Oreochromis niloticus: one gene and its partner. The protein of the gene in region 1 purifies or fractionates together with the protein of each later gene. This does not show direct contact. Links are inferred from orthologs where the notes say so. Each region holds a gene or a part of one and is shown on either strand. Other genes may lie near its edges. The genes, in order: use1 and scfd1.

Region 1 (10,358 bases):
GCCACAGAGCTCTGAAGGTCATGTTATCTACAGAGCAATCACTCTGCAACACAAACACTTTGGTGAAAAGAGTAAAAGTGTGCATTCACTTTGATCTCTTTTAATACTCTCTGTTGCTGTAAGAATTCATATGCAGGTGCATGAAAACCTCACCATCACCCTGCCTTTCTCTCGACCTCACTAACACCTTTTGGTTCAGTTTCAGGTTTGGGTTAAAGTCATATACATGTGTGCTTTCCATTTCTCCTTTAGTGTTTGTTATAGTCTAGTGTGGTGTTTTCAGTTTGGGTGAAGGTGTGATCCTCTGTCTTGTGCAGATGCATGAGAAGGTCAGCACTGATCTGAGCGTGGTCCCCGAGAACGAGCCTCTGGATTCGGACACGGAGGCCGAGAAGAACCTGATGGAACGTATCAAGTCCATCAAGCAGGAGAAGTAAGATCGCTCTCTTAGCACTTTTCAGTTCCTCATTTCTGCTGTCTTCATTGTCCAGTTCCTAATGCATGTGATTTCCTCTTCATCTCACCTTCAGAGAGGATCTCGCCTATCGCCTGCCAGAGATGGAGCAGCCTGGTTCAGACCAGGAGAATTTGGACTCCGAAGCCTCGCTGAGCTCTGAGAGCCTCTTGGACGAGCAGCAGCGCTCCTCTGCTCACAGCTCAGAGCCTGAAGGTCAGTAGTAAGGTACAGTCTGGACTTCCTACCTGTTTCTGTCACCTGCGGGTTTCTGACCAGACCACGGGGCCTGCTGGGCGGGGCCCTTCCTGTCTTTTGTGGCACAGGTCTGGACCAGTGATGGTGAAGGTGGGCGGTGACGTCTGCTCTGTCGGAGGTCGGAGGAACGGCAACCGTGTTTTTGTGTGTTTGTGTGCATGTAAATGCATGTGTGGCACGGCTGCATGCTCAAATTTCACCCAAAGTTGATTTGCTGAACATTTGCCGTCCACATCAGATCAGATGCTTGTAATTGTAACTCACTGGGTGTATTTTTTGATTTTTTTCTTGCAAATCATGGTTGCATGATCTTCCATTTGCCTTTTCCCCTTTCACACTGCTGTGAGCCTCTTGGTTAAATATTCCTCATTCTTCCTCTATCCTCTTCTCTTCCAGGACGAGGTGCTCATCAGCTGAGGAGATCCAGACCGCTTTGTCTTCCCAAACCTTCAGATCTGACCCAGAGGCCGAAAGTCCCCGGCGGACGCATCTCTGTGTCAACCCTCACCCCTGCTAGCTCCACCTCTTCTTTGGCCAGCTGCACTTCTTCAACTTCTGAAACCTCCAACGCCTCCTTCAGGCATCCGCTTCAGCGTCGCAACCCCATCATCCCAAACACAGTTAAACTCCCGCAGGGAGTCTGCTCCCAGGCGGCAACCTCGAGTCCGCCTCACTCTCACGCTCCTCCTGGAAGCCGAGCGCCCGCCTTCTCGGTCAAGAGACGAGAGCAGCCCGGCCGCCGTAAAGACAGCACCCAGTCCCTTTACCTCGACGGCTCAGAGTGCGACTTGGTGCTGCGTTTTTCTTCCTGTCCTCCTTCAGCCGCCTCTTCCTCTTCTTCCATCTCCACGGCTGCGCCCACTCCTCAGCTCCAGCACAGCGGCACGAAAGTCCCAAATGTCCACAGACGGTTTTCTGACCCAGACATCCCGTATGTGGATGATGAAGTCTGAGCAGGGAGGAGCACAAACGACTGGAACGGCGAAGAGGATTAAGGGCGGCGACCCGCAAGCAGACAAACGAAACGAATTCAAACGCTCTCAGATTCGACGCAGGCGGCAGCAGAGCGCTCGGAGAGGCTGGAACTTGATGTGTGTATGAAAGGAAAGGAGAGACGCGACGACACGCGCAGCTGCTGCGGCTCCACATGCATGAACCCAGCTCACACAAACTGCAGCTGCTGCTGTCTGAGGGAACTCGATCAGCCAATGCAAACGTGTCGTTAGTAAAAAGGACTGGACCACATGTTGCCAAGCACCTTTTCAATCTTTTTAATATATTGTCCTCACTGTTGATTGCTTCAGTTGGACCAGAGGCAGTTTCCTCCCGTAGCCTCATAATGATTTTTTTTTTTTTAAATTTGTGCTAATTCAAGAAAATATTGCAGGTTTCAGTCGCACTTTTCATTTCTTAGTTCTCCCAGTGAGTGAAACTCGCTCGCTGAAACATTAGCTAGTGCCTTGATGTTGTACATTGACTTGATAAAGAAGCTCATTCTCATGTCACGATGATGGAACGGTGCTCGTAGAGGGAGGGATGTGTTTGTTGTGGAAAACAAGGACCTAAACCTGCACATTGTGACTGTTGCACACACACAAAAACAAACAGCTTTTTCTGTTCACCTTCATGTTTTACCCGCCGCACAACACACACCAGATAGGAAATCATTGCATTCATGCAGCAAAGGGAACGGGAGCAGCACACGCCACTTTCTCCACAGAAACGACAAAAAACCCACACAAACCCAGCCGTGATCCAAGAGCGGTGGCACCACGTGTCCTTGAACTTCCCCTCCTCTAAAATCACTCAGTCCCATTATTAGAAAAGTGCTGAAGCACAGCTCCGGCCAACTTTGTATGAAATGTAATACTAATGTTCCTCTCTGACTGCTGACGATGATGATGATGATGTATGATGATGTTGGTTTGTCTGGATTATGAGGAAGATGTTCTGATGTGTAACAGAGTGCATGGTGACTTTGACTGAATGAGCTGTAATGTTTATTAGTAGTAACATGAAAATACAGTACATGATGCTTGTAACGTCCGCTGCTGTGTGTTTCCATCACGCACAATTAGAACGTTTTTCTTTTACCCTGGAAACAGACGATGGTGATAAACAAGGGTTATTAAAATAAAACTGTAGGACGTTTATAAACTCTCCAGGAGTTAGTCTGCTCCAAATTAGGTTCATAGGTTGACTTGGACCTTCAGCACAGACAAAATGTAGTAACATGAAACTAGAAATACTGCACCTAAATTCAAAATTCATTCACCATAGACTCCCTTCATTGCATTAGATTAGGTACATGTTGCTAGTACTGGGTACAGACCACCTGGTGTGGTCTCCTGCTGGTGTAGCTCATCTGCTTCAGGGTTTAACATGTTCAGAGATGATCTTCTGCACTCCTATAAGCTCCAAGCTGTCAGGCCAGCCTCTGAACTTTAGCATCAAACTGCCCCTCGCTGGATATTTGCTCTTATTTGGATCTTTATCTGTAAGCCCCAGAGATGGTTGTGTGGGACAATCCCAGCAGATCAGCAGTCTTTGAAATCCTCACACCAACAACCACTTAAATCCCCTTTCTTGCTCATTTTGATGCTCATTTTGAACTTCAGCGGGTCATCTTGATTATATATTTAAATACACTGACTTGCTGCTGTGTGATTGGCTGATTAGATATTTGCATTAACCACTAGGTGAACAGGTGTACCTAATAAAGTGGCCGGAGTGTGTATGTTTAACATTTTGCTTTAAGATGGCTAAAACTCCCAGAGGTGGGTATAATTTTAGTCTTTCAGAGTCGTCCCTGCATTAAACAGTCATTAAAACTCGGGTCAGGTCTTCTTAAATGAGCCGCTTCTTTGTCGCAGTAAACTGCAGCCGTCTGCACAGACCTCACTGTTTTTGATTTTGTGGGTGTTTTGTGTGGAGTGGAATTGATGCACCTTTAGCACACAAAGGCTCCACAGTTCAGGATCAGCTGCCACAATGCAAGATCTGTTTTTCAAGTGATGTCATACGAGTTATTTCTTCAGACTTCATAAAGCTGCACCAGAGCCGCACACAGGAAATTACACCAACATGAGTTTTAACAGTGTCACGCAATGCGCCCCTTGAAGTGGTTACATTTATTTTTACCATTTTTACGCCCTGAACTGCGGTCAGCATTTTCCTTCCTGGTCGTGGGTGATTTATCAGCCTTGCACACCATCCACTGTTAAGCAAATTAAAGTTGATGTAGTTTCACTTACCTCCATGCAGGTTGGTATACGTGAGTATTGATAGATGATTGTTTTCCTCTCTGCACCACCCTCACAGCTGGGCATGTTCAGGTTGAAGGGCGCTGCAGTGGTAGTTATGTGAGGTCTTTATAATTATTTGTTAATCTAGTTCAAAGTGTTTATCCCACCTAACAGGTGCAAACAAAGTCCTGAAGCGATCAAGGCCTGAACAGACTGGGACTATTTTTTTGACATGAAGACTAAAATTGCTGCTCTGAGGATTTGAACGGGCTGTGTCATGTGACCTGCCGGACTGCAGACAGACCACCTTCTTGAACTTTATCCACAGGAATCCACAGATGCCTCATATCTGGAAAACGCCTTTAGCAGCTCCAACTTCAGCCCACTGGTGGTGCAGAAGTGTCTGAGCCACAGATAAGAACCTTGGTGAGAAGATTCAGACAACTGTCTCCAATCTGTGCTCCACACTGCAAAAATAGCTATGATTCTAGAAGCTGTAGATGATAGGCATAAGAAAAGGTCTAAACACTGAGTGCCCTGACTCATCTTTGCTGCGCCACTAAATAAAGTGATGCAGACAGTGTACTGAATGGCCTATTATACTTTACGCACTGTAGTATAGTGATAAGCACAACATGACTTTATATCAAGTGCTAATCTTTCATTCCATCTGTTTACATGTAAGGCAGTTTGAGTGTCATAGATACCGTACAGCAAAATATAACCCATGTTTTATAAAACAAAACATAATCAGTCAATATAGGCATACATGGATACTTGATAAACTATCAGGCCACCACCCAGTGCAATGTTTATTCCACAATTACCCTAAATTAACAGTACTGAAAATATCAAACTCATTTTCTATGTTTCTGTAACGGCTGAGCCACCAGTGTGTCCAAGCCTGACACTCAAAAATGATATTTTTCATTTTATTAATGTTATCTTTTACAAAAAAGCTGAAAAACAGCAAACCACATCATTATTATCATCATTATTATTATTATTATTATTATTATTATTATTATTATTGTTTAATGGCATTGCTGAAAAGAAAAAATCGTTGTTTTTTTTTGTTGAACGTTGTGCTTGACTCTCAGAGAAGTCCAGTATGGCGCCTCAAATTGGGGTATAAAAAAGTGAATTTAGTTTTTTATTTGCCCAATAAATAAAATTTTAAAAACAATATAACTTTTAGTTTTACCCAAATACATAAAATGGTTATGTTTGAGTGTTTTTATGGCAGTATTTTTTTAAGAACTGTATATAAACACATACAAAACATACATAAATAAAAAAAGTACTACATACAGACATGTTGTGGTTTTCGTGCCAGAATGGTGTGTTTTATATTTATTTTATTTTATTTCTCTCGAATAGAGAGAAAGAGATTAAGATAAAACTTTGGGGTCTAACGAGATCTTATTGATAACAACAACAACAATAATAATAATAACAATAATAATAATAATAATAATAATAATGAGTCTAGCTTTTTAAATTGAAATTTTCAATGACGACGTAAAAAAAAAGAGGCGGGCGACGCTCCGCCCATAACGTCTGCGCCGCTCTGCTTGACGTCAAACTGCTGCGCCGCTGTGCGGCTTCAAACCAAACATGGCTTCCCGACTAGAAATCAATTTCATCAGGTTATTGTCTCGCTGTGAGTCTTTGGCGTCGGAGAAACGGGGAGAGACGGAGTGGAGGCTTGAAAAGGTAACCCGGCACGGCTCGGAGCGGCTGTAACGACCATGTCGTGATGACGTTAGCCTGACTGTTGTTGTTGTGAGCCGCTGTTAGCCACGTCGTCACCTAAACCTTTCTGTTTGGTGTCGGGAGGCACATTTAAGCTGTTCACCCCTCGCGCACAGGTTCAATCATAGCCGAGATGTCACCGTAGCGACACACGGCGAGTCTGCGCAGTCTGCTACTCCAGATTTGCTGTATTTTAGTGTTTAATCTCGTTTCTGAAGCTTTCCTTTCACCTATGTTCCTCGCAGAAGATCCTCCGTATGTTCATATCTTTAACAGTAACTTTATTTATTTATAGCATTTTTTTAAAAAACGATCGGCTGCGAATCAGCTACAACCCGAGTTTTCCTCCAGCCGTCCAACCTCTGCTGCCTTATAGAAAGTTAAGTCAGGAGCTGCAGTCAGGTCATGTGCACCAGCGGGGTGTGATGCAGCCTCTAAATTACATCGCGATATTTTAGAGAAATATTTGCGATAATACTTATTATGCTATGAAAAATAGTGCGCATCATGTTGGGTGAAGGACATCCATCCACCCATCCTTTCTTCTTTTCCAGTGAGCTGCTGACCTTAAAGTGTGGCTTTTATTAAGCAGCAGTGTTGTAGTGCAGCAGCAGTGACACAGCAAAAGTCAAATGTAAGCACACAAGTACTCCAGGTAGTCCCAGAAAGTTGTTTCTGTTCATCTGGGCATTTTGTTTTCAGTGGGAGAAACAATTCATCACTCACCTGTGACTTCTTCCTCATTCTCACCTCGCTGCAGTTTTCCCCAGCCCTTTAAACATTTGCATATCATCCAAAACCAGCACCAGCCAAGTTTCATGATCTTTAATATACTATTGTCATAATCATTGATGGTGGGCGCGAGAACCATTCAGAGGTCACAGGGGAATGGTAGGTGAAAGGTGAAAGACGTACTCTTAGGCCCCCTCCTCGGTTCAGAGATGGTCTTTCCTTTTTCACATAAATGGCCTCCTTTACTCCTTACTCCTTTGAAAGCCGCAGAGTTGCAGTGAAATACTCTGGGTCGAGTTTTCTGTGGAAATTTAGTTTTTGTTAAACTAAAGTAACTTAAACTTGTAATTCTTAAGGAGGGCACATCCTGGCCAGGTGAGGTGTGTCACAGGGCTTACATGGAGAGACAGGTAACCACTCACACCCACACTGTTGATCTGTGGAACCAGCACACCCTAGACAGGGAGTCTGGATCGACTCCCTGTATAACTAATCTGATCTCTGAGTCTTAACCAGTAGGCAGTAGAGATCGTAGAGCCGATGGGTGAGGGGACTGGCCCGATTTAGAATCACCAGTTAACCACAGATGCATGTCTTTGTGCTGTGTAAACTCCACACAGAAAGGCCCCACACTGGATTCGAACCCAAGACACCGGCTCCTAGCATCTCCTCCTTCGTAGTGTTTGTGCCTCTAGTGGTGAAACATGTTTGTTGTTGCCACCTTCATCAGGAACAGCTCTCGTTCATATTTTGCAGAGCAGTGAAGTTGTTGAGTAGCTCCCTTATTAAGTCCTCACACTGCTCTCGTACTCAGATATGCTTGGGCGGGGCCTCAAATCAAAACAAGTAGTTGAACATTTTACCTCGATTAACATTAACAAAGGAGTTTCCTTTATTTACTTGTTCTTGCCCCCATAGTTTGCTGACAGGGTTTGACCTGTAAATGTGCTCAGCGGTTAAAGCTGCGATATTGTGATCGCGCTCCAGCTGTTGAAACAGATTGGTGGTCTTACCTTTGGACACTGAAACTGTGTTGAGGTCTTTTTACATCATGCTTCATGTCATGGAGGCACGTAACTGCGTGAACTCTCATTGGGTGAAATGTTAACAGAATTTAAATTTAAAACAAAAAAAATGACATGGACCAGATCACATCAGTTGGGGGTTCTGAACATCGGTTTTGATTTATTTTCAATTAATTACGCGGCTTGTGTTGTTTTGCTGGGAAACATAAATGCATAGAGTTGCTATATGAGACTTTTATAACGTAAAGATTTGTACTGCTGTTTTCATGGACGATGTGATTGTGGTTGTTCGGTGAAGGGAAATTACTGCTAACTTTTGTTACTAAAACTTTGACCACTAGGGGGCAGCACTACTAACAGGTTTCTTTTTAGTAACCGCTCCTCATGAGATCTCCTCTTTTGCCAGGCTGTCGTTTAAAATACAGACGTGCCTGTTTTTAAATAAAGGTTACAGTGACACACTGCACCCTCTTGTGGTGCAAAGTGGTATTACAACAAAGTGCAGCTTTTATCTTTGACACAGCACACATGTGTTTGGGTTAAATTCAGAGCAGTTGCCTGTTTAAATTCCACTGAAAGCTTTAATTTAGTTTATGAGGTTTAAATAGTGTGAATGTGTGTGTGAATGGGTGGATGTCTGGATATGTAAAGCGCTTTGGGGTCCTTAGGGACTAGAAAGCGCTATATAAATACAGGCCATTTACCATTTACCATTTTAAACCCAAGAATTAACAATAAGCAGCTTTAAAGGAACAGTAGCTGATTTAAATGTGTGACCTGCAGCTTTAACGCAAACGAGTAACAACAGGCGTCACCAGGCCACTTGGGACTGAATAAATCCAAACGCCTCTTCTCGGTGACCTCGTGTCACGGTGTACCGAGTGGCTCCCTACAGCTGAGCAGTGAAGACCCTTTAATCTGAACCAGCAGGATAAACCAATCAGCTGCTTGATTTTTACTTTTAGAGTAGATGAAAGGTTCGAGTAACTAAAGTAACAACAGTCAGTACGACCCTGACAGCTGTCAAACACTTTCTTCTTGCACTGCTTCCTCCTTATTACATTTATCATTAGACCACATTTACACGTGGCCTGATGTGGTGAGAGGTCTGTCGGAGGCTGACTTCTTTCTCTCAGTGAACCGACTCGCTGTTACAGCAGACGTGCTGTGAAGTTAAGTAAACTGACTTAAGTTTTATATCACCAAATCAACACTTTGACTCATCCGTGCCAGCATGGCTATAAACTGCAGCTTGACTGGTTGGTGGAGATCAGCGGCCACTGGGCGTTGGTTGGAGTTTGAAATACGGTGCATTTACATATTTAGTGCTTGCCGTGACTTATTTTCTAACACAGCTGCAAACTGAAGATGTGTTCCAGCCTGGTGTTAGTGTAACCTCAAAGATGCTTTGCTGCAAACAGGAACTATTAAAGATATATTTAAGGATCCTCCACTTGATGCTGTTTACTGGCACCGAGTCATTTGCTTTTCTCAGGAACCGTCTCTGCAGGGTCACAGCTGTTTTGCATCTTAGCCTTTCCGCATTATCACTGTGTGTGTGTCGGTGAAGACTACACTGTTCACCTGCAGCAGCTTCTGTGTCCTGTTTGGGTTTGTGACCCACCCTCTGTAAGAGACTCAGCCTACTTTTACAAGAAACCTCGTCAGTTAGACTCTGTTATTTGGCCCAGTGTAGTCCATGATATATGGATATTTATTTTTTTAAATGTATTAATATTTGTTACTTTGAAATAAAGATTTGATTGATGAGATAAATGAGAGCATGTGAGCAGCATCACTGTTTCTGTTTGGTCTCCTCCAGTATGTGGGCGCCCTGGAAGAGATGCTGGTGGCTCTGAGGAAAAGCCTGAGGTAACACCACCCTCCACTTTTATGTCTCCATGTTTTCTTTTTTTGCCTGAAAAGGTACATATATTATTAAGAACCTATTTTAAATATGTTTGGTTGTAACAGGTCACATCAGGCTTACGTGTTATGAGCACAGAGGTTTGATCTGCTGGTTTCAGCTTAATAACACAAAGTTTTGTCAGTAAGCGGTTGTGTGTTCTTCCAGCAAACCAACACCAGAGGTCCTGGCTGAATACACCAGAAAAGTCAATTTTCTGAAAGGAACTCTAGAAGCAGAGAAGCTGGTCAGTTTTTTCTGCTTTTAGCACGACACACCTGTGTTTTCTTGTGTCTTTGAGTTTTCTGACTTCCTGTCCCTCCCGCTCTGCTTCAGTCTTCACCAACAGAAAAAGCTTTAGCTAATCAGTTCCTCGCCCCCGGCCGGACGGCCACGATGGCCAACGAGAGGATGTCTGTCACTAAAAAAGTCCACACGCAGACGAAGGCGCGGTGCACGGGAGAGATGAGGGACGAGCTGCTCGGCACGGTAGGACGCTCTCACAGTACTGCAGACGTGACCTGTTGTGTGAACTGCAGTGCGCCTCCTAAACTACAGCAGTGTGGTAGAAAAGTTTAAATAAAAAGTTTCCCACATTTTGTCTTAAACTCATAAATGTTTTTTTTTCTGTCGCCACAGGGGTCGTCGGGAAAAGGTACGAAATACTCGTCCTCTTGGATTTAATAACATTTAGATGGAAATATGACGAATTATATTTCGATAGGACTGTATTTGTTTGTTTTTAAGAAAAAGGTGATTTTATTTTTCTTCTCTCTCCTCACGTCAGACGGAGACTTGAGGAACCGAAGGTAAAGTCGAGCTTTTCTAAATGATCTCATGTGTTAGACTTGTTTTTGGGACTTGGTGTAAAAGCTTCAACCTGTGTCACCTCTGCGCAGATGTTTTCCTCTGGACGAGCGTCAGTCTGCCGCAGAGCTGGACGCCGTCCTGCAGCATCACCACAACCTGCAGGAGAAGCTGGC
Region 2 (10,129 bases), on another chromosome or scaffold:
AAACTTTAATGACAGGTGAAAATTAAACGGGATAACTGAAAAATGATTTGAGCTTTTAGTGCCTTTTAGTGTCTGCTACTTCTGAGAGGAACTCTTCTGTAATTCCCAGCGTAGATAAACACATTCAGGCAAAGAACTGAGTCCAGCTTAATGAGTTACTGTGTGAGATCACCTGACAAATCCTGTCAATATTCTCCTCTGTGGGCATGACGAAATAAATAGCAGGAACATCTGGAATAGGATCTCTGTCTGAATGAAGCAGCCTGAACACACAAACACACACACACACACACGCACAATAGCACTTTTTTCTTTTTTTGTTAAAATAAACAACATGCAACAAGAATAAGAAACCAAAAATCACTGAGACCTCACTAACTGCAAAATAAAACAGAAGTAAAACTTGGGAGACAGCTGCCCCATAATCAAGTGCTACAATGTTGTGCAGAACTCTCGAGCCGACCCTTATTTCTTTATATTTTGCTAGGAAAATGAAAAAGGTGTAGCAATTATCATTGGCATTTTCACAGATTCAACTGAAGAAACGGGAACAAATTATGTACACTTGCAACAAACCAATCTTAAGATGGGGGTAGAGCTGAGCGATAGAACGATAACGATATGTATTGCGAAATAACTTTTTCTCGATAGAAAAATTAAACTATTGCGATAGGCCTCATCTCTCTTGTCCTCTTAAAAAAAAAAAAAAGAACAGCCAATCAAAATTAAGTAGCGCAGAGCCGAACCAATCACAGCTGCAGCGTCACGTCACGTGACTTGTTACGTACAGCACAAGTGCCAAGGCGCACATGTGTATTTGTTTGGGAAGCAGCCAGCCGGGCTGCCCAGGTAATGGAGGAAATGAGTGCGCCGATTAGAGAAAAATCAACTGAGAGCGTGACCGAAGGTTACCAAAGAAAAAACCGATGATGGTTCCAATGCCGGAGAGCTTGTCGAACGGAAGGGCCACAGACGTTCCGTAGTGTGAAGGTATTTCGGCTATTTCAAGTCTGACAAAAAACAGAGTAGCGCGCACTGTAAATTGTGCTGAAAGCAAGTCTGGAAATACAATAAACCGGTGCATGCTCAGTCTCTGACTGAAAGCGCTAATTCGTCATTCGGCTTTTGTCAGACTAAAATAACTGTTAAAACTGTTTGAAAAGCTAAGCTATACAACAAGGAGAGATTGAGAATTTCCTTTTAGTTCTCAGTTTATTTGATATTGACAAAAGTTAGTCAATTTTGTCTGTTCTTCTGTAAAACAAACTAAGATTTATTTTTAGAATTAAAATTTTGTTTCTAAGTGGAATTGACAATTTAGTAGTCTGTTTTGTTTGTTCTATTTTGAAACTTAAATGCTTTAGCGGCTGCCTTTTGTGTAGTTTGCAATATTTGCCTTTATTTATCTGAAACTGAAGTCTCATGTTCCTTAAGTACATCTACCCTGTTGAACTTATTATGGGAAATAAATATTTAAATCAAAACAAGCTGCTGATTATTTCACATTTTACTTGTGAGCAATGGCACATTTAAATCTTACAAATATAGTTATTTGGCTTATATCGTGATATATATCGTTATCGCCTGAAATGAAAAAAACATATCGTGATATGAAAAAATCTTATATCGCCCAGCTCTAGATGGGGGCTTACAATTGAAATTTGTTTCTTTGCTAAGTTTTTTGCTATATGTAGACGAACCAATGGTTTGTCTACATATGGTGAGTTTTGTGCCTTTTTTGTGACGCTATGATTCATAGATCAGTGTTAATGCTAAGGTACACGGACTGGATGAAAACTGAGCGACAAAGCAGCCACTGTCCATAGATAATCTTTGAAAGACCCTCAGAAAGCTTGAAGAAGTATTGCTCAAGAAAATCTTGAAAATTACAAGAAAATCTTGCTCCTTTAAAGTATGGAGAAATTAGTTGTGTCTCATGACTTTTGCTCTATATAACTACTCAAAACACTCCTGCAGGACCATCATCATATGGTCATTTGCAGCTGCAGTGCTGTAAACTGATCACAGAGACACACCATCAATCACACATTCACAAAAAAAACTCAATCAACATGATCATGTAAAGGCTGTTTTTTTTTCCTATGTCCTCAAATTTGTATTTATTTACTGTATTTAGGCTCCCATTTCACTTTTATTCTATGTATTAATTTATTCATATTTTGAATCTATCTATTTATGAATTTCTATAATGATTATATATAACACAGCACAACTGATTTCAGAAAAAGTGTGTGAAAGTTTTGGTGGCAAAACCACAGCATATTTAAACTGAGGTAAACAGATGAGGTGACCCTCCTGTGCCTTCTCTGAGAGCAGCATGTGACCAGTTGTCTTTGTGGTGATTACTGATAATGATTGTTATTTTTGATTATGTGATACTTTGTTTTGCTGTTGTCTTAAAACAGCTCTGTGTGTGTGTGTGTGTGTGTGTGTGTGTCCTACAGATGCAGAGTGATGCCCATGTCTCGGAGCTCTTTGACAGACAGCAGTGGGGAGATGATGTCTTGGCCAAACCGGTCATATATTAACACCTGCAGAAAAGGCAGAGATCAAAAGACTTTTTCTGACCCAGGCAGAAATCACAAATACAAAGCCCTACTGATAACCACACAACACTTATTTATGTGACTGCTTTCACTGTGTGAAAAGTCTGGCATATGAAAGGTGTGATTGCTAGTGGAATGCAGTTCTATGGGTGAAATACTGATACATACGTACACTGATTAACAGCATGAAAGAATGAGTTGGGGATGTGGGCTGGCACTGACATCAGCTGATTTGCCAGCATTGTGGCTTAGGTTGACTACATGGCCTATGTGAACTATAGAATTATTATGTATTTATTTATTAAACTTTGAGTTCACGTTGAAAAGCATGACATTCTTCATTACACAGTAAGCATGTATGAACTGTCCCTTCACCTCCTCTTAGAAACACAGGATGCGGATTTTCAGAGGCTGAGTTAATCCTAAATAAGATTTAACACACAATGCAGCACACTGCATTTTCTGAACACACTGAGCTTTTATGCACGGCGAGTATGAGTCTCAGTATTTAAGTCATGAGTTCAGGCTGGATTTTTTTCCTTGACACCTTTTGAGTTACTACACTGTTATAGTGACTTACCTTCCACACTGGCTCAGCTGCTGTGTTCTTCAGAGGAGGTGCATTGAAGTTCAACATTCGCTTCAAAGCGACTGCAGAAATGCATCACAGAAACTTTTATGTTAGGGGACACACAAACAGATCAGTATCCACATGGCTAATAAATACTGCTCCATTAATACTAGCTTAACTGAGAAGCAGGTGTTTCTATAATCAAATGGTTGTTTAAGACATCTCAACAAATACTGTTCTGAAATATGTCAAGGGTTTAACATGCTTTTTTCTATGGTGAAACGAGCCTGGGGAAATGACATGCCATATTACAAAAAACAGCCTAAAATCTTTGCATTTTAGGCTTTATACATCACATTTGTTTCTTAAAAATATCAATAATGACTATCTGCTATGATAATAATAATTGACTAACTGTTGCCCTTTTGACTAAGGACGAAATTCTGTAGATGTGATTTTGGTGTGTGAAAACATTTCTCTGAGCATTTCATAGACAAAATGTTTATTAACTTGAAACTAGACTACTGATGCAGTCCCCTGGGTCTGCAGTGAACAGCTAGCTTTATTTGTTGCCAGCTGACGATTTGATAATTCCACTAATCACTGCAGCTCTAGATCACACATTGATAAATCTGTTTATTCACTGACCAGACTGCCCACAAAAATATTCAATAAATGTACTAGAATAAAATGGATATGCAAGAATAAGACATCCACATTCTACTGTCCACCCAATATTTAATATTAATAAATAATATTAAACAGCAATACAACAATAAACTGATCCAAACAACAAAGCTTACTGAAACCATACGAGTATATTCACATAATGAAGAGAGGATTCATCCTGTGTATATGAAACTAGAAATAGCTTATGACTTTCTTCAGAGTTAGCAAGAGGCTAGCTATCCGTAGCTATTAGTACCGTAGTAGAGCTAGCAGCACTGATAGCTGACAGGACGACGGGTTAACTTTGGGTAAATAATTTAACAGTGTGGTTGACAAGTTAACGTGTCTGTAAATAAAGGAAAAAATGAACGAGTTCCGCTATCAATAGTGAAACAGGAACATTAATGAAGTAGCTCAGCCGGCTGTTAGTTTAGCACGTAGTTTAGTTTGTCAGCTATTTAAGAGGGGGAATGGTATCTCAGTCAGATTTCGGGTTGGTGGACCTCTCCACAGCCCGTCACCGCTGCTGTCTTTCGCCTGATATAATGTTAACGAAAGAAAGAAAACATTTTAACAAACCTGTCTGCTTCTCCCGGACAGACGCCGCCATATTTGATGTTGTTAGTTACGGAGTGACTGATGACGTGGCATCAGCTCGACGTCAGCTTACACGTCAGAGAAGAGTGTAAAGTGAAGAGGTCTCGCTCTGGTGCTGTTTAACAGAGAATACAAGAAAGAATGCAGATCATCAAAGTAAATTTCCGCTTTCCAGTAGACCAATAATGAATTTTTACTTTTATTATTATTATTATTATTATTATTATTATTATTATTGTTGTTGTTATTATTATTATTAAAATTAGTATTATTATTATTATTATGTGTGATAGACAGTGGCGTTTAGTCAGGACAAGCAAAGTATTGTTTACTTAGCCAAATGTAAAAACAAACATCAATTAAAACATACCAAAGTGAAAGCCATCTCTTTCATTTTATCTTAAATAGCATTCTGTCACAAAACGTCTTGCCTGTTTAAATCAATCATTTAAGCATTTAAGCCTTAAGCATCTTTAGTTGCAATATCAAACATTCTTCTGCATGACAGGGGCAGATCTAGAGAAATTTTCTTAGGCTGGTATGAGGGTGGCATGGAAATCGAATGTGGTGGCAAAATCAAAGCTTTTTACACACATGCAGGTGTTACATTCTGTAATTATATTATATATTTCTGTAATTATATTATGTATTTTAACAATTATATATTGTTAAAATACATCAAATGCAGTAAGTATACACGTTTCATATAAATATACTCTATAACGTTTTTATTTTCTTTAGCCCACATAATTAAACATTTCAGTTTCATAAAACATGCAAATTTGGATTTTATGTACTGTATAGCCTATATAATAAATAAGTATGTAGTCCAATAAGTATAAAATCTAGAAAGCTACACAACACAAGGTGGTTCATTTACAAACACAAGTCTAACTTAATTTCACATTCTTTTTTGTATTAAAAATAACCAAATTGTTACATGCTTAAATTTACACAAAATGCCTCAAATCTGCACTGTCATGAACACATTTTTCACCAACATCTCAAAAACTATTAAAGATAAAAGGTGAGTAAATGGAATAACCGCTATATTAAATAGTTTAAAGATAATGTTTGAAAAGCACATGTCAACTGAGACTGTAAAGAAACATAACCTTAAATAAATACCGCATTCTTGATGGATTTTAATTTAGTAATCACTGCCAGTATGATTGTTTGTGTTATTATGTATCTGTGTGTTAATGTGTTTTATCATCTGTTACAGGTTTCTTATTCATTTTCAGTTATATTAAATACATAAATTTAAAAAAAAAAATACAGTGAAACAATAAAACTGGCATTTCTGACAGTATTCATCTTTGCTGAGACTCCACATAACTGGACTGGACCACAGTCCATCTCTTATTGCCCATTCTTTCATGCCAATCTTTGTCTCCATTTTTATTTTTCCCCCTTTGAACAATTTAAAAGTCTGCTAAAATATATTCAGACATCATTTCCGAAGACCATTAGTAGTTCAATGTGTGGATCCAAAACATTCCAGTTCTGTTGATTGTCAGGGACAAAAACCCTTGTCCAAGGGTTTCAAGGGTACACTAAACAGTCTTTCAGTGCTCCCCTGTTTGCTTGCAATTTCTTGTCTGAAGTCTCCATTCAAACAGTTCAAACAACTAGGGCTTTTGTTGAGAGACAGTTTCCATCCAGTTCCATCACAATTTTTTGTAAAATCTCAAATGTGTACTTAAGCTTTGTCAGGTACCTCAAGACCAGTGAGTAAATGAGGCCAAACAAAATGGCGAATGCATTTGCAATGTTACTAGCACTTTAACACCTTCAATGATTATTCCAACATCTTTAAGGTCATCTGTAGGTTCTTCCCCTTCCTTCATAATGGTGAAGATTCCCAGGGTTATCTGCCACATTGCCTCCTGGTCAAGATTCCTTACATGTCAAACTCAGGACTTGGTGTGGGTCTCACCGCCATCACAGTATTTATTTGCAGACTGGTGAAAGAGTATATGAGTTGAAAAGTTTCATGGAGACTGCAGATTTAGTCACCTTTGTTCACTCGTGCCTGGTTTACTTAAGATGGACCTGGTCATACAAGTAGTTAGATGTAAGAATGATACACAAGTGCCATTTCTTTTCACCTTGTAATGCTTTTAAAGCCTTAAAACCATATTCCAAAGCACGATGCTGTGGGCAGCAATCAGCACTTCAATCAAAATAAACACCCTGCATGATTGCATATGAAAGCAATTAAAAAGTACCTGAAATTTCTAGAACGAACAGTAATTCACATTAGCAGCATAAGGACTCAGTTTGAATTTACAGACACTGTGTATTTAAAGCAATATGATATGATCAGAATGGATCAACGGCAGTTTTTTGAACTCTACAAACAGAAACTGCAGTTTGCCCTCAGCATGACAAACATTTAAACCAAATGAAAGTAAATTACCACATTTTGCACATCTAAACTATACCTTACATATTTATGAACTGCCTTGATAAACAAGCAAGTCTTAATCTGTGCGCTGCTTCACCCTCCACAGCAGTGCAAAACCGAATTTAATATAAGGACAGCCCAATTTATTTCATCACAAAATGCATTGCTGTTGTTGGGTTTGTTTTGAGAGAAAGCCAAATATAGTTCATTTTCTTAAACGTATTGAGCAGTTGAAGTTCAAGTGAAAAAAAAAAAATGCTGCCATGTCACAAAGAGCACCACAACCAGACAGTAAATGCTTTTTATTATGTGTGATAAACAGGACACTAAGGTCAGAAGTTGCAGGAAAGCCACAGTTCTCCTTATTTGGCTGAGCTCCAGCACTTTGGCTAACGTTTCTTCTTCTGCAGCTTTCTGGGCATCTTATTTAAATAATAATGAGCTTTTTTTTTTAAGCTATAGGCCAAAATTATGAATGAAAATGAAATGACAATGTAGTTTCAATTTAATGAGTGTAAAATTTTGTACATTTCTACTTACTTCTACAAGTCCTGTTGTAAAGTTACAGCAGTGCAAAATATGCCACACTGACAAATGTATTCAGTTTCTCATACAGAAATGATATGTTAAATGTTATGCTTGATCCTAATCTGCCGCCAACTCTGTTTACATTGCTGGTTTAATAGCTGAACAAAACACAGATTAAAAAAAATCTGCTTATCACTGAGAATATTAAATCAGTAAATTTCATTTCATTTCCTAAACAACATTTAATGTCAACACATAGCGTGATAATGTAATATAATGATTACAGAGGTTTTTTTTTAATCTTTATATCTGAGAAAATGAACAAAGTACAAGGAAAGCAAGGACAGGTCATTAAAAGAGGTTTTGAAAAATATGTAAAGTATGACTGAACTAAAAGTCAAGGTTATAAAATCAGCACCGTACCACAAAAGATGTTGAGATTACATAATATAAAGCAATGACGGTTGAAGACCTTTTAATGCTAAATGGATTCCAAGGACAATCCCAAGATGTCGGACTACGTTTTGGCCATCAATGTTTTCCGTCTCTAAAATGCAACCCCCTTCCCCCAAAATCTCCCCACACCTCCCACATCCAGAAAAACAAAACATGAGGCAGGATTAATTATTAGGCATCAACAAACAATATGTACAAAATCCTCAATCACCATAAGTATAAATGTATTTAAGATATCAACACATACTGCGATACACTCAAAAGAGAGACAAGCTCTATGGAGAGAAAAACATTAAAAATGAACTGAAGCCTATTTGGTCAAATGTGTTAATGTAAAAGAAATGTAGATTAAAAAAACAAAACAACAACAATAATGCACCACTCTCATGACTCAGAATGTGTTTGCAAGGTTGTAATAACAGAGATAAGATAGTAGCTTCACTTCAGGTAACTACAGCCTTCAAGAAGTGTTTTAATATTGAAGTCTAGATTTTTCCAAAGGACAAAATTTCAATGTACCCAAACACCTGTCGCTGACAGCTTCAAGTCAGGACTGATCCACGGATGCTGCCGTCAAGATCAAACTATTTGTGAGGTGTTTAACGGCTTGCATCCTCAGCAGGAACCTTTGAGCTTGGTGCAGAGCGCCATAAGAAGGAAAAGGTTTGTGGTTTCAATTCATATCCCGTGCATGGATAAGCAGCTAAGTAAATAGATAAAGGGATGGATATTTGCATCTAGATTTACGTATTCAAAAGAACATACAGAACATTCTTTCTTCTTTATCAGCCAACTTTGAGAAGCCTATTGACAGGAATCGCCTAGTGCTTGTGAGTTTGCACTCTTCCGAGCTTGTGAAGGCATGCTGTGCTAGCATTCTACTAAAGAATATTATACATATATTAGAATAAACAAGAGTATTACGTAACACTGTCGGTCCTCTAGGTATACAACACCAGCTAACACAGTATAAATGATATAGAAAACACTAAGGGTTACACATTAATACCATGTCATGGTATCTGTAACCAATACCACTCAACCAGCTACGATACTGAAAGTTTTTCTTGTTCAAGCAAATAGTGATTTCTTTAACAAAACATCAAAAAACCTTGATCATTATGTTTTAAATGCGTACATTACCCAAATTTCTCTCCATCAATCACAAAGAACCCCATTAGAAAAAAACAAAAAACAATCAGAGTTTATCTTCAAACACAGATCCCAAACCAGTCCAGAGCCAACCCCCACCTCCTTCTTTAACCATCTGTGGGGAGAAGGTGCACATGGTGGCTGATGGCCTGCTCCATGGAGCTTTTAAAAGCCTGGTAGGAGGAAGTGACGGGTAGGAGGAGGTGTTTTGACACAGGCTCACTCTGTGGGAAGAGTCCCTCATCCCTCCAGTCCACACCTCTCCCTTCTTTGAATCCTAATAGGGAGGGCGCGAGAGGATGGAGGAAGGAGATGGAGGGAGAAGAGAGGGCACTGACAGCTGGTAGCTTGGCACTTCCTGTGGCAAAGTGAAGGAGGTCCTGAAGGGAGATGGAGCTCCTTCCAACTGAGGAAAGAAGAGAGTGAGTATAAACATTTTAGAGCATAAATATTATCATCATCATCATTTCTGTGGCACACTTTGGGAAAACGTATCAACACAGAAAGATGAACCCATGACCACTTTTATCCATCCCAATGCAAAATTTTTTATTTATAATAATAAAAACAGGATTAACATTCCACCTTCACACTCAAGCAGGAAGTGCCTCCAGAAGGTGACAACGGGCGTCTCTCGGTTCAATTTTTCCTCCTGCTCAGAGAAGTTGATGGTGAAGAGCTGACCCATTGTCTGAGCTGTGAGATGATCACCAGCTTCACAGAAAATTCCACAGAAGACAGATGGGAAGAGCTGAACCTGATCATAGTACAGTGTAATTAGTGTTTTTAGCGTCACTTTTCTTCTGAACTTCTGAATACTTTATCTTGATGTTTAATAACATTAATTGCTGCCTTTTATATTAATCAGTCCAGTTTAAGTCACTTATTTTTTTTCTCCATCAAATATTCCCATTTGTGTTAACAGGGTTACAAACAGCTTTGAGACATTTTTGAACTGATTTAGAAAAGGGCAAATTTCTTTTCAAACTTCAGTCACCTGATCAAAAACACCCAAAGTCTGTAGACCCTCCCGAAACCTGAGGATGAAAATAAGCAAAGTAAACACTGAAAATGCAAGAAAGACCAAGGAAAACAGGAGAGTTATGAACACAATCAATACAATGGAAAAAGCATATCTTAAAAAATACAAAATAAGACACCTAGAGAAGATCAGCAAGT

What was found.
Region 2: the proteins of use1 (region 1) and scfd1 purify together in Homo sapiens (affinity purification with mass spectrometry; 3 studies listed by BioGRID and IntAct, counting the BioPlex papers as one, with this or other methods). This does not show direct contact. The link is inferred for Oreochromis niloticus from reciprocal best matches to the Homo sapiens genes USE1 and SCFD1.

Annotation. Positions count from the first base shown.
Region 1 is NC_031986.2:44,591,514-44,601,871, forward strand, and holds the start of use1 (vesicle transport protein USE1), read left to right. Parts: upstream 1-5,516; 5' UTR 5,517-5,574; coding exon 5,575-5,673; intron 5,674-9,291; coding exon 9,292-9,341; intron 9,342-9,543; coding exon 9,544-9,622; intron 9,623-9,711; coding exon 9,712-9,864; intron 9,865-10,014; coding exon 10,015-10,030; intron 10,031-10,162; coding exon 10,163-10,184; intron 10,185-10,274; coding exon 10,275-10,358. Other genes in the region: unconventional myosin-IXb, read left to right, coding at 318-433, 531-670, 1,109-1,665.
Region 2 is NC_031983.2:3,779,349-3,789,477, forward strand, and holds the start of scfd1 (sec1 family domain-containing protein 1), read right to left. Parts: upstream 4,536-10,129; 5' UTR 4,418-4,535; coding exon 4,387-4,417; intron 3,219-4,386; coding exon 3,148-3,218; intron 2,553-3,147; coding exon 2,464-2,552; intron 264-2,463; coding exon 173-263; intron 1-172. Other genes in the region: g2e3 (G2/M phase-specific E3 ubiquitin-protein ligase), read right to left, coding at 9,058-9,356, 9,536-9,707, 9,948-9,987. UniProt on the Homo sapiens protein: Plays a role in SNARE-pin assembly and Golgi-to-ER retrograde transport via its interaction with COG4. Involved in vesicular transport between the endoplasmic reticulum and the Golgi.